Danio rerio: one gene and its partner. The protein of the gene in region 1 purifies or fractionates together with the protein of each later gene. This does not show direct contact. Links are inferred from orthologs where the notes say so. Each region holds a gene or a part of one and is shown on either strand. Other genes may lie near its edges.

Evidence for each region.
Region 2: the proteins of ppp6c (region 1) and ankrd44 purify together in Homo sapiens (affinity purification with mass spectrometry; 5 studies listed by BioGRID and IntAct, counting the BioPlex papers as one, with this or other methods). This does not show direct contact. The link is inferred for Danio rerio from reciprocal best matches to the Homo sapiens genes PPP6C and ANKRD44.

The regions. Positions count from the first base shown.
Region 1 is NC_133180.1:32,595,775-32,602,435, reverse strand, and holds the start of ppp6c (serine/threonine-protein phosphatase 6 catalytic subunit), read right to left. Parts: upstream 3,988-6,661; 5' UTR 3,911-3,987; coding exon 3,836-3,910; intron 3,118-3,835; coding exon 3,022-3,117; intron 2,912-3,021; coding exon 2,846-2,911; intron 2,734-2,845; coding exon 2,592-2,733; intron 2,508-2,591; coding exon 2,428-2,507; intron 1-2,427. Other genes in the region: myo1hb (unconventional myosin-Ih), read right to left, coding at 5,898-5,924, 6,583-6,661.
Region 2 is NC_133184.1:33,816,679-33,822,738, reverse strand, and holds part of ankrd44 (serine/threonine-protein phosphatase 6 regulatory ankyrin repeat subunit B), read left to right. Parts: intron 1-340; coding exon 341-424; intron 425-2,516; coding exon 2,517-2,595; intron 2,596-2,894; coding exon 2,895-2,965; intron 2,966-4,068; coding exon 4,069-4,269; intron 4,270-5,250; coding exon 5,251-5,338; intron 5,339-6,060. UniProt on the Homo sapiens protein: Putative regulatory subunit of protein phosphatase 6 (PP6) that may be involved in the recognition of phosphoprotein substrates.

The DNA.
Region 1 (6,661 bases):
TTAAAAGTTTTGGTTTCAGTTTGTGTCAATTTAAAGGTTCAGTCTGAGCTGATCTTCATCTTTCTGTGTTAGTGGAAAAGCAGGCGAGTCAGCTGACCCAATTTATGAGCAGGCAGAGCAGGATTCTTGCGATGACCACCGGCGAAATACCGCTCTTTGTTATGAGCCGCAGTTTCAGTGTAAACTTAGTAAAGGCGAGCTTCTTTGGCGATGATATGTACAGTATTAGATTTGACTTTTAGCGGACATTTGCGCTGAACACGCAGTGAATGCGACGCATGGAGATTCGGGCGCCTTCTCCAAGAAGCGCGTACTCAATTGATCTCAGCTGGTGGATCATTATTCACCACGTGACGTGTCATGATCGCTCTCATCTGCACCTCAACTTTAGGTGGGGTTTGCAAACCTGTGTGCTTTAAGTCTTTACTCTTCAGCCGTTTGCATTTCCCGTGGTCATAAAAGCTCCTTTCCTGTCATCTGACAGCGGAATACCTTGAGTGAATGAAAGCTAATATGAACCAATTTAGCGGCAGGGAAGAGCGATTCAGCACGTTTTTACAAAAAATCAAAACAGGTCGCACTACAACCATTATCTGCAGTCGCACTAATGCGCCCAAATATATTATGAGGTCGCATAGATTAATTTTCGGGCGCATGTGCGACCAAAATGGGCGCAATTTCGAGCCCTGAGGGGTCTCAAACTCGCGGCCCGCGGGCCATTTGCGGCCCTCAGTGCAATATTTTGTGGCCCGCGCCGACCGCTGTACACTGACAGAATCAGCGGAGCGGGGAGAGAGAGCGCTCCCCGCTCCGCTGATTCTATCCGTACACAGCGGTCACTGGCATTCCCCGCCCGCCGTGTAAACAAAGGGGCGGGGATGCCGGTGAAGTCACCACGCACCCCGCCCCTTTGTTAGACGCTGTGACGGGCGGGAAGTGTTAGGAGGGAACTCGCGCCGGCCAGAACCAAGGTAAGCTGTTCCAGCCCCTGCCTGCCACTTGGCTACCTATCTGCAGCCTGCCACCTACCTAGCTACAGCCTGCATCTTATATATATTATAGGTAGATACAGACTGGTACAGACTGATGTGACTGGAGTGGGGTGGGGGTGTTTTATTTATACATATACGCCTTTTTTTTAGGTGAGGGAATGGAAGTTTTGAGTGAGTTCCCCCAAGCCATACTGAGGGTCTCAACTGCTTCCGCTCTAAAGCCAAATGTGGTTCAGATTTGTGAGAAGAAGCGCTGTCAAGTCTCTGGCAGCAAGGAGTAGGCAAAAGATGCCATGTTCAGAAGAACTGTTCATAATCTTCACTCAATGTTCTATTAATGTTCAGGACACTTCATGTTCAGAAGAAATAATTAAAACTGTTAATAATGACATTTGAGGACTTTTTTTTGTGAAATCCCTTATGCGGGCCAGCCTCACCCAGACTTTGCCTCCTGCGGCCCCCAGGTAAATTGAGTTTGAGACCCCTGTTCTACATTGAGGTAGCGAAAAAAAAAAAAACAGTGAAGAAACTCGACACAGAGGAACATAAAAACCTCACTGCCAGCTAGCGTTTCGAAAGAGTTATTACAGAGCAACACAAACAGCGCGCATAGGATAGTGTAGAGGTTATCGGATGCACACTTCACAATCTCACTGGAAGCAAGAGGTGTTCCAAGTACTTCTCGTATACTGTTTTTTCCAAATAATATGAATTAAGACAAACTGCTCCACTTACATGTTGATTTTCCACATAGTATATAATAGGGAAATATGCGATTTCGGACACAGCCCTATAGTCATGACTATAAATTCAAGATCTTGGGTGCAAGTGGTCGAAATTAACTTCCTCCGCAGAGAGGCAGGGGGTACCCTTATAGATGGAGTGAGGGAGCTCTATCACTTAGGAGGGACTCAGTGTAGAGTCGCTACTCCACATGGAGAGACGTGGCCAAGACATCTATTTTGAATGCTTCCTAGAACTGTTCTGGACTTGTCCCACCAGGAGGAGGCTAAGGGGAAGACCAATGACTCGCTAAAGGAACTGTCACTCGCTTGCCTGGGAATACCTTAAGATCCCCCAGTGGAACTAGAGAAAGTGCCCAGAGAGAGGGAAGTATGAGGTTCTCTCCTGAGACTGCTGCCCCAATGACCTAGCTCCGGATAAGCGCAAGACAATAACTGGATGTATAGTTTCCTACATTTCTTTTATACCAATTCATACTTAGAAATATAAACAGTTTCATTAATCCAAAAATTATTTGATTTAAACAAAAACATCCTAAAATTATTTGATTTAAACAAAAACATGTGTTTCCTGAGTGAGGCCCATTAGTAAGAAGACCAAAACAAATATTGATAATGTTGAGATGTGTGATTGATAGATAGACAGACAGACAGATAGACAGACAGATAGGTATTCCAAAATCAACACTTACGGCAGCAACAGTGAGCATGTCGAATACTTTAGTGCAGTATCGCCAGGCATTAGCATTTCCATATTTAGTTTGGCACTCATCTGTAGACAGAAAGCCAAAACAATTAAAATCCCAAGTAAATTCAAAACAAAATATTTCAAAATCTCTGATTTCTGCAGCCTTACCATAAAAGCCATAGACCTGTGTAATCTGCCTACTCTCGTGATTGCCACGCAACAGTGTGATGCGGTCAGGCCACTTTGCTTTAAGTGCTAGCAAATATGTGAATGTTTCTAAGCTGTAATATCCTCGGTCAACAAAGTCACCCTGGATGAAAGAAAACATACCAATGTCTCCTCAATAGATGATGGTGGAACAATTTCCAACGCAGTACTAATCACAAATCATCAATTAAAATTATTGTTGTAATATACTTCACCATGAAAATGTAGTTTGTATCTGGTACTTGGCCCCCAGTTCTAAAGAGTTCACATAGGTCATAAAACTATTTATAAAAGAAAAAAAAAAGCTTAGTCAGTATGCATGTTTTTACAAAAACACGACATCAGCTCAACATCAATACCAGGGATGCATTAATGGAGCCTGCACACACACCTGTCCATGAATGTCCCCGCATACAGTGACTGGAGTGGATACTGGCTGTACATTTGATTCCTCAAGCAGAAGGTCACATACATAGTCACATAATCTCTGTCAAAGCAATAGAAATGAAGACAAGATTTGAACAAGTTTGTCAAGTGAATGCTATCAACGATGGTGACAGAAGCAGATCTAGCGGCGCATCTAAGGTCACATTTATTAATTTAAAAATGAGCTTTTTTTCCTAAGCCACATTATTTCAACATCGTATAATCATTTGTTTGATCACTGTTGCTATTTTTGTGTCATATTTGGCGGTACTGGATGAAACTGGTAAGACGTTGCATTGCATCATTATGAACTGATCCAGAAGCCCAGTTGTTTACGTACAAGAATTATATTTAAAAACAAACGAATGGAGGACGATTTAATCAAACCTGAAACCTGCTAACAAAGACGCAGATGTCATGAATTAAGATTTAACAAGGTTGATGATGGAAAGCATAAAATGGGCGTTTCAAACTAGTTCGCATGATAGCAACAGAAGTTAGCCACCCTATGTGTCCGCAAGAAAATAGTCCCTTACACAACTTTGTTATGCCCAACTGTCCTTACGGTCGTAACGTTATATACGATTATTTCTGAAAATACGAATGAAATCAATCCCGGAACATAAGATAATAGACTGGACTCATACGCAGCGACTGCATTGCACTGACACACTGCTATTTTAACACCTTCCGCCACAACCAACACGAGTTTATAAATACATCAATCGCTAGCATGTCCAATATTCTAAGAGAAACATAAAATTACTCAGATCAATCACCTTTAAGTCGTTCTCTGGTAGATATTTGCACTGCCTCGCAATTTCAACATACTTATCCAGGTCCAACGGCGCCATTTTAAGAACAACAGTCGATGGAAGACGCGAAGAGGAAGTCTTTCTACGTCACACAGAGTGGTGATGATTGACAAGATGATCAGCCAATCGCAGGCCAGATTTTATATGGAACTTGCAAAGTCGTTACATTCTGTTCATCGCGTTCTCAAAGTAAACTTGAAAAACTAATTTAGCAAGAGCCTGCTTATTAAAAAAAGTTTTTTTTAAAGTGATTCAATTGCGGTTGCTTCCATTCGGCTTATTATAAAAACATTCTCAAGTTACTGACTGACCACGAGGTGGCAACAGAGGTTTGCTTGACGCGTAGCCTTCTCTCCAAAAGGTGTGTGGTGAATTTTCTTTTCTTTTTACATGTCATTTTGGGGTTTTATATTAAAGAAAAAACTATTTCAACTTTTTGTAAACCTCATATTATTTATTATAAAGTTTTTTTTATTCATAAATGTAAATATACTCAATGTAAGCCAAATGAGAATAACAACTGCACTTGAAAACCACTACAGACTCTCATAACAAGAAAGCAGTTAAAACTTATAAAATATGTGCTTTATTTGATATCCTGCATTAATTTGTCTATTTTTTTCATGTGCCCTCTCATCTATTTTTGTTTCTTCTTTGTCTTTCTTTTGCTTTACGTTTACTATATTTCTTTAAAATTGTCCCTTTTCTCTTGTTGAAAAAATATTTATATTATTTGTGCTATACTTCTATCTGATTGTATTTCAGTCTTTTAAAATTGCCTGTTGTTATTGCAATAAAAAAATGAATTAATAAAAAAATGATTTCATACATTACTTTTATTACATTGCTTTTATTTGTATGCTTTAGTTGGAAACATCAGGAACCGTCCACCAAGTGATGACCACTGCAAATAGTTTATACAATAGATGAACTGAATTACCAAGAGAAAAAAGACATCACAAATTAAAAAAGTACAATACATTATTATAAAAATGAGTCTACCGTCTTGATTTCATTAAGTTACATATATTTCTGCTGCATTTTAAGACAACAGCCAAACAAATTTCAATGGATTGTTCAGATAAAGCATGACAACAACTGGCTGTCCAGGAATTACTATCAAACATATATCATATTACAGCTTACAAATATTACATATGTTCTGTATCTCATATTAAATGGCATTTTATATTTGAAACTTTATTCAAATTATGTAAATACATTGTTTTTTCTCATGTGTTCTGGGCATAACCAGCTTACGTGTATGTTTGTCAATGCAATGAAGCTGGCATGTTGCATGTTGTCAGGTTTTGGCAGTATGGGAGATAAAACAAAATACAAATACAAAAATGAGCACAGTATAAGTTTTTCTGTCATGATACCCAATGTATGAGATTAACAAGTAGGCTACAGCACTTCATTTGGACAATTTTTTTTAAAAAAAGTTCCGCTTTAAAGCAACAATTAACATACATTTTGTCCATCAGAAAAGTGCACAGTTTAGCAAGCTCAAAGACAAACTCAATTCCATTTGATAAGAAATATTAGTCCTTTTCATGAAATGCTGAATATTTATAACAAAATATGAGTTTATAAAAAGCACAACAAAACAATGTACAGTAAACAGCTAAAAATACAGAATTTAAACACTTCAAATTATACAAACGAAACAAAACAAAAAAAAACAGAAGTCCAGCTATTTTAATACACCAGCTCAACTTGTTGACTTTTCTTCTTAATAAATGTGAATGGTAAATGTGCGTACGTGAATAAATTGTTGAATAAAGTTTTATTATTCGTCCCTTGAAGAATAAAGTCATTTTTAAAAATATTCTAAAGCAGTTTTACCCAACTCTAATCCCTTGAGGAACCCTAAAAGCACATATTATGCCTCCCACATGTGATTCACATATTTTGTTTAGGTCTAAATGTTATTTTGTTTCTTATTGAGCTGATGAATGTATTAATTTGTGTGCCTCCATGCATTACTGTTCCACTGTGGAGAAGTCTGTGAGGTAAAACTTTGTCATCGAGATTTTGTTCGTGCAGATTCCTGCAAAAGAAAACATGTAAATATGTATAAATGATCACTGTGAAGGGATGTCAATTGTTTTATTTATTGAATTATTTATTAACTACACTGCATGATATTATAGCTTAATTAATAGCATAGTATTATTATCATATATAATGATAAACATACAGTTGAAGTCAAAACTATTAGCCCTCCTGTGATTTTTTTCTTCCCTTTTTCAAATATTTCCCAAATGATGTTTAAATATACACAAATATATATATATATATATACACACACACACACACATATATATATACACACATTATATATATATATATATATATATATATATATATATATATATATATATACACATATTATATATATATATATATATATATATATATATATATATATATATATATATACACATATACATATTATATATATATATACACACACACATACATACATACATACATACATACATACATACATACATACATACATATATATATATATACATATATATATATATATATACATATATATATATACATATATATATATATACATATATATATATATATATATAAAATCTGGCTTAATCTGTAGTCACAAAAAAACAGCACTAAATATGTATTGTTTTATAATATGTGTATTATGTTATTTAGATTGCATTATGTAGACCCACCACCATCAAGTGTCCGTTCTTGGCTCTATAGACCATGGATTCACTGCTACTCTTAAAATCAACAAAGCCTTCTTTCCCA
Region 2 (6,060 bases), on another chromosome or scaffold:
GTTGTTGAATTCCTCCCACTTGAAGGTCTCCGGTCTGCAGCAATACCTACTTGATTATGTTTTTTGGGGAAAACTAAAACTATCCTAAATGTCATTTTCCTTTTCTAAGGTTTGTAGTTCGTTCATAGTGACTAGACTGACTTTATTGCTGATGGCCAATATCTTCCTTATGTGTGCTGTACACAATTATTTAAACAAAACTTTTCTTCTATTATCCTAATTAGCAGCACATTTACTCCTTAAAATTTCTTAGCGTAGAGCCCATGTTGGAGGAAGCAAATTCTCTAAGTTTGAGTAATATTAACACTTATGCTTTCTAACTAACCTCTGTTGTTCACAGCCACCGCTAGTCCAAGCCATCTTTAACGGAGACCCAGATGAGATTCGTGTGCTCCTATGTAAATCAGAAGACGTCAATGCACTGGTATGAGTCAGTTTCTTCTGCTCTTCTCCTCACATGACTATATCTCATCCCTTTGTTACTTGCAGCACAACAGTCGAGGAATCCCATGGAAAGCTGCCAGAGATTTATATACGTTGGTTTCAGTAAAAGCAACAGGACACAAAATAGTTTTCAGGGTTATTCTTCTTCCAGGATATTTATTTATTCGGCTTGCCTGTCTGTGTCCGCCCTAATGGCTCCAGCAAGAATTAGCTTGCTGTCCGAATGTTTTATGAAGAGCCGCCGGTCACGATTTCAGGCTGGATGTGCAAACAGGTTCAGACAATGGACACGCTGAGATGTCACCACTGCCAGTGTGTGTGCACATTAGTGCTACAGGGATTTGTAAAGACTCCTTTGTTGTGCACCGCTTTGCAATGACAGACAATCAGCATATTCTATTAAGAAGTTAAAAAGTCTTAAAAAGGCCCAATTCTCTGTTAAAACGTTTTGACAAATTTTTATCTGCTCTACAATTCACATTAAATGCTTTTTCAAACTATTTCTTTGTCGAATTCATGCAGCATATTTCCAGTAGAAACAGGATTTTAGAGTAAAACATAAGGATCTTCAGGATTTTCTCAACATTCTGTAGATGTAAAATAAAGGTTAATATGAGTAGCCTATTCTTATTTCTTAAATACACTGTAAAACAAAACTAATCTACGTGTAGGTCTACTGTTGGTTAAAATGCTAAAGTTTGTATAGACTTGCATTGGTGGACTTGACTAGACTTTAAATTTGTCCTGGTTGTTAATTCACAGTATAGTGATGACACCAGAATACAACTATTTATAATTATGAAGTTGAATTATTATGTTTGAGACATTTGTCTCTGACAACATTATTAGACCTTTTTATTCCACTGGTAAAACGAAAAATTTGTCATTATCAGATTCCCTCTTGCATTATATTCAACATTATATAGGCTAAAGTAGTTGTAATATTGACAGTGTTGCACATTTATTCTCATGCACAACACTTTGTATTCGCTATGAAAAAAAAAACATATCAGATGCTTGTTATAATCATAACTGCACAATGCGATAGGATTATTTAAATGATGTGCGTGGTTTTGGTTTCACTTTCACTGGTCAGTGCGGCTCATGTCACGGCTGCTGTCACTTTGGAAAAAATAAAGCATACATGGAAATCATATTTCCCATGCGGCTCCCAAAAGATCACTTTAACTGAACGTTACTTACATCTATATTACCTGTTATTCACAGCCTATGTGAATTACAGTTAATATGTTTGTTCACTAAAAGTTGACATCATTCACCAGCACGCGTGTGTCCTCTCAGTAGTAAACAAACAAAATTTGTGATTTCGCAGCTGCAAATACCTCATAACATTAAGACAGAAATGACATTTTCGGGTTAATTATACCTTATGAATAAAGTGTGTGACACTTTTAACACCATTCGGAGGTGTTTGTGTTGCTGAGCAATATATATAAAACAACGTAAAGATTTGTGCGGCACCTTTATGCTTCGCCCGAACTTGAAATATATTTGGCTGAATGGTACAAATGCTGAATTGAGATCTTGTGGGGGCGTTGAATCATGATCGCAATCTTTTTTCGATTAATTGTGCTGCCCGATTTACATGTGCTAGTTGTGGTAGTTGTTTTTTGCTATAGGTAGTTGTAGATGGTATTGAAAAATGTCTGCAATTTTTCCAGACAAAAGTTATTATAGGTGCAAACTTACTGGTAGAAAATATACCACAATTTAAAGAGCTATTTACAAATTTACTACAATTGTAAAGGGTTAGCAAAAATCCTTGTAAAAATATTAGTAAATGTTTACATAATTGACTGTATTTTAAGCTTTGGTGAGCAAAAGCAGAGCAATGCATTATTTCACAAGCATTTAAAAAACAAATAGGCCCTAAAGATTTGAATGGCAGTCATGCGTTTTTCTTGTGTCATTTAAAATGCGTTTCATTCTGTGCTTGTTTGCTTTGCTTGTAGTTGGGGTCCTAAGCGAACTCACGTGGAGTAAAAGCCACAAAACCTTGATTTGATTCAACATCTTCTTTCCACCATCTCTGTCACCTGTCTCTTTTTCAGGATGCTGAGAAACGTGCTCCCCTGCATGCAGCAGCCTTCCTCGGAGATGCTGAGATCACAGAGCTCCTCATTGTGTCAGGTGTTTCTCTCTCCCTCCATTTCTTCATTACCTCAATTCTATAGTAGCTTTATAGACAACTCTTATAAAAAATGCAGTCCTTTAAAAGATTATGATTACTCAAGCTGAAAATTATGCCATTATCTATTTACAATCACATTGTTTTAAATTCTGTGTTTATCTATTTGGAATTGTATCAACATGAGGGTGAATGACAGACTATTTCTTTTGGGTGAACTATCCCTTTACTGTTCAATTAAACATTCCTCATTTTTTAGATATTAATAGTTTTATTTTTCTCTTTTACTACCTCATTTTAGGTGCACGGGTCAATGCCAAAGACAATATGTGGTTGACTCCACTCCACAGGGCAGTGGCATCACGTAGCGAGGTGGGGACAAACATGTTTCAGTGAGAACCAGATGTGTAATAATGTCACACAGCAGGATGCCTTTACAACAATGCTAATCATATGCAGCAGCTTCTGTGTGATTATAAATTAGGGTTGGGCGATGTTGACCAAGTTGGCATCAGATGATGTCTAATGTGAAACATCGAGATGGACGATGGCATCGTCGTCGTAGGGATGAATTACTTATGAATAATAAATTAATTCATAACAAAATAATAAATTGTAGCCTACTGTTTCAACTACCTGACCAGCTTGGTCTTTGTTTTACCCATAACCAAATCATACATAAATAAAGATAAGTTACACACAAATTACCACTTGACAATCACTTTTTCCGCATGAATAGGCAGAGTGGTCTGTGTCGTTATAATGGCTTCCACAAACTTGGTTGATAAAACAAAGTGCACAACCAACATTATCTGAGGTTTTTGCTAAAATTAGTAAGTACAAGCGTGAAAGCAAAAGATTGAAGCAGTGTACTGATGTTGTGACACATTACCTGATCGTTTCAAAAGACTGAAGAGCCGTTAGATAGAGACAAGATTAATTAAATATCATGTTTAGCAACTATAGTGAGACACAATTTAGCGGTACATCTTTAATAAACTGTCAGATGTGCACTGCTCTCTGGGGTTTTGTGCTCAAAGCACCCACTGACTGCCTGGAGCTCAGATGTGCACGTATGCTAGAGAGCATGACAGCGTGTGTGTGTGTGTGGTCACGTGATGTGCCTTTTCAACGTTATAGTGTGGAAGGAGGGCTGTTCAGAAATGCTAATTGAAATGCCCGTGTGGACGTGATTCGTTTTTGTTCTACAATTCCATTTTAAAACTAAGACGTATTAGTGTAAACAGGATCTAAGTGTGTGTTTATGAGCGGGTTGCTGCTGCGATGGGGGCGGGGTGGAGGATCGAGATGTCGGCTCAGCATCGTGATGTCTATCACACATCAGGGATAGACGATGGCATCGTCTGTCGACCCAACCCTATTATAAATGTATTTTTTTAACCCTTAATTCTGATTGGTCACATATTTTCCTACTGTCCCAATATAATGACATGATTTTCTTGAACTATTTTCAGGAAGCTGTTCGTGTGCTAATTCGTCATTCTGCTGATGTTAATGCTCGGGATAAAAACTGGCAGACACCTCTGCATGTCGCTGCCGCCAACAAGGCCCTGCGCTGTGCTGAGGTCATCATCCCACTACTGAGCAGCGTTAACGTATCAGATCGTGGAGGACGCACCGCCCTGCACCACGCTGCCCTCAATGGGCACACAGAGGTACTGCTAGTTGAAAACAAAATTGTGAAGTCCTTTTCAAAGGTGCACTAATTTCATTTTAAAGCGGACCTGCTATGCCTGTTTTAACGAAATGTTAAATAAGTCTCTGATGTCCCTAGAGTGTGTATGTAAAGTTTCAGCTCAAAATACCACACAAATAATGTTTAATAACTCTTTAAAACTGCCTCTTTTATACAAGAATAGACACACTGAAGACACCCATGATCAAGTAGTCTGGTGTGATGATGATGCAATAGCCCCTCCCCCTAAAATAGACTTGACACTGGGAGTTGATTCCTGTCTTGACACTAGAGAGTCCAGGAATTGACTCTTCTGAAGTTGATTCCCCATGCCTACTTCAGTTATTTTGAAAACAGCACACTGAACATTTACATGTATTTGAATAATTATCCATAAGTCACCATCTTTCAAGATTTATCTCACTTTTCTGGACACTCAAAGTGGTTTAATGAACAGTATAGAGTCCCCATCACTATATTAGGGCATTAGGTCCCACACAGACCACAGATTGAGCCTCCCCTGCTGGCCTCTCTTATATATTTTCCAGCAGTAACCTAATTTTCTAATGTGGTCTCCCATCCCAGATGTTGACCAGTTGAAGCAGTGAGCTAGCAGCCGACATTTTAAAGTCTTTCTGAGAAAACTTCCTGAGCACACAGTCCCTGTTGTTTGACACTAATTGTTGGAAATCCATTGTGGCAGCTCCACTATGGCAATTTTTAGATAGGAAGTCACATTCGCTCTGCTACATACACAATTTCCCACATGTTGTGAAAAATCTCAACAATGCAGAATGGGTTTGAAAGTCATTATATAAACTATGACACAAACACATAGAACACAATAAGGCTTCAGGAGACCTGTAATTACTGACACACTCATGCCTTATTGCCTGTTGAGACTGACACACGCACACTCAGTTTCTTAATGTTATTCACTTTCCTCTCTCTTTTTCTTCAGATGGTGAGTCTCCTTCTGGCAAAGGGTGCTAACATCAACGCTTTTGATAAAAAAGACTGCCGTGCACTACACTGGGCAGCATATATGGGTGAGGGGATGTCCAATAAAACTTGTGACACTCTGCACACACATGCAATGTTTACGCTTCAATTTTGAATTAAGACGCAAAATATTAGTTACCACGGGGCTGTCAATAAAATCACAGCTTATGCAGTCTGTATTCAAATAGGGTGGGTGACATCATGCACTGTGTTTTACAATAATATTGTATATATTTTATTTAGTTTTTGAAGGAATAAACCCTTGATAAAGACTTGTTTTGCTTTTGAATAAATTGTTTAAAGGAATGATTTAATGACATCTAATTTCGACTTCACAGTTCTACATTTATGCAATACAAAAATAGATTTTGTTGATGCTGATTTCATTTGATTGGTAAATATCTATAGTGCATCGTTGTTGTAATTGCATATATTGGTGAAATGTAAAGATGTTACGTGATATACAATATATTGCGTAATATTATATTAATATATAATATTAATATATTAGTAATTATATATATTAAAAGAATTGCCTGTATTAAGATTGAACTAAAAAGGCAGACTTAATTAAATTTGTTCTCATTTGATTTAATTTATTTTTATTTGAATTTAATGTAGATTTTAATTAAATTTAATTATATTGGTTTTGGAATTTAATTAAATAAAGTTTTTTTAAATTTTTTTTTAAATATTTTCAATTTAATTAAATTTATATACATTTAAATCAAATTAAATTGAATTGGTTTTGGAATTTAAGTTAATATAA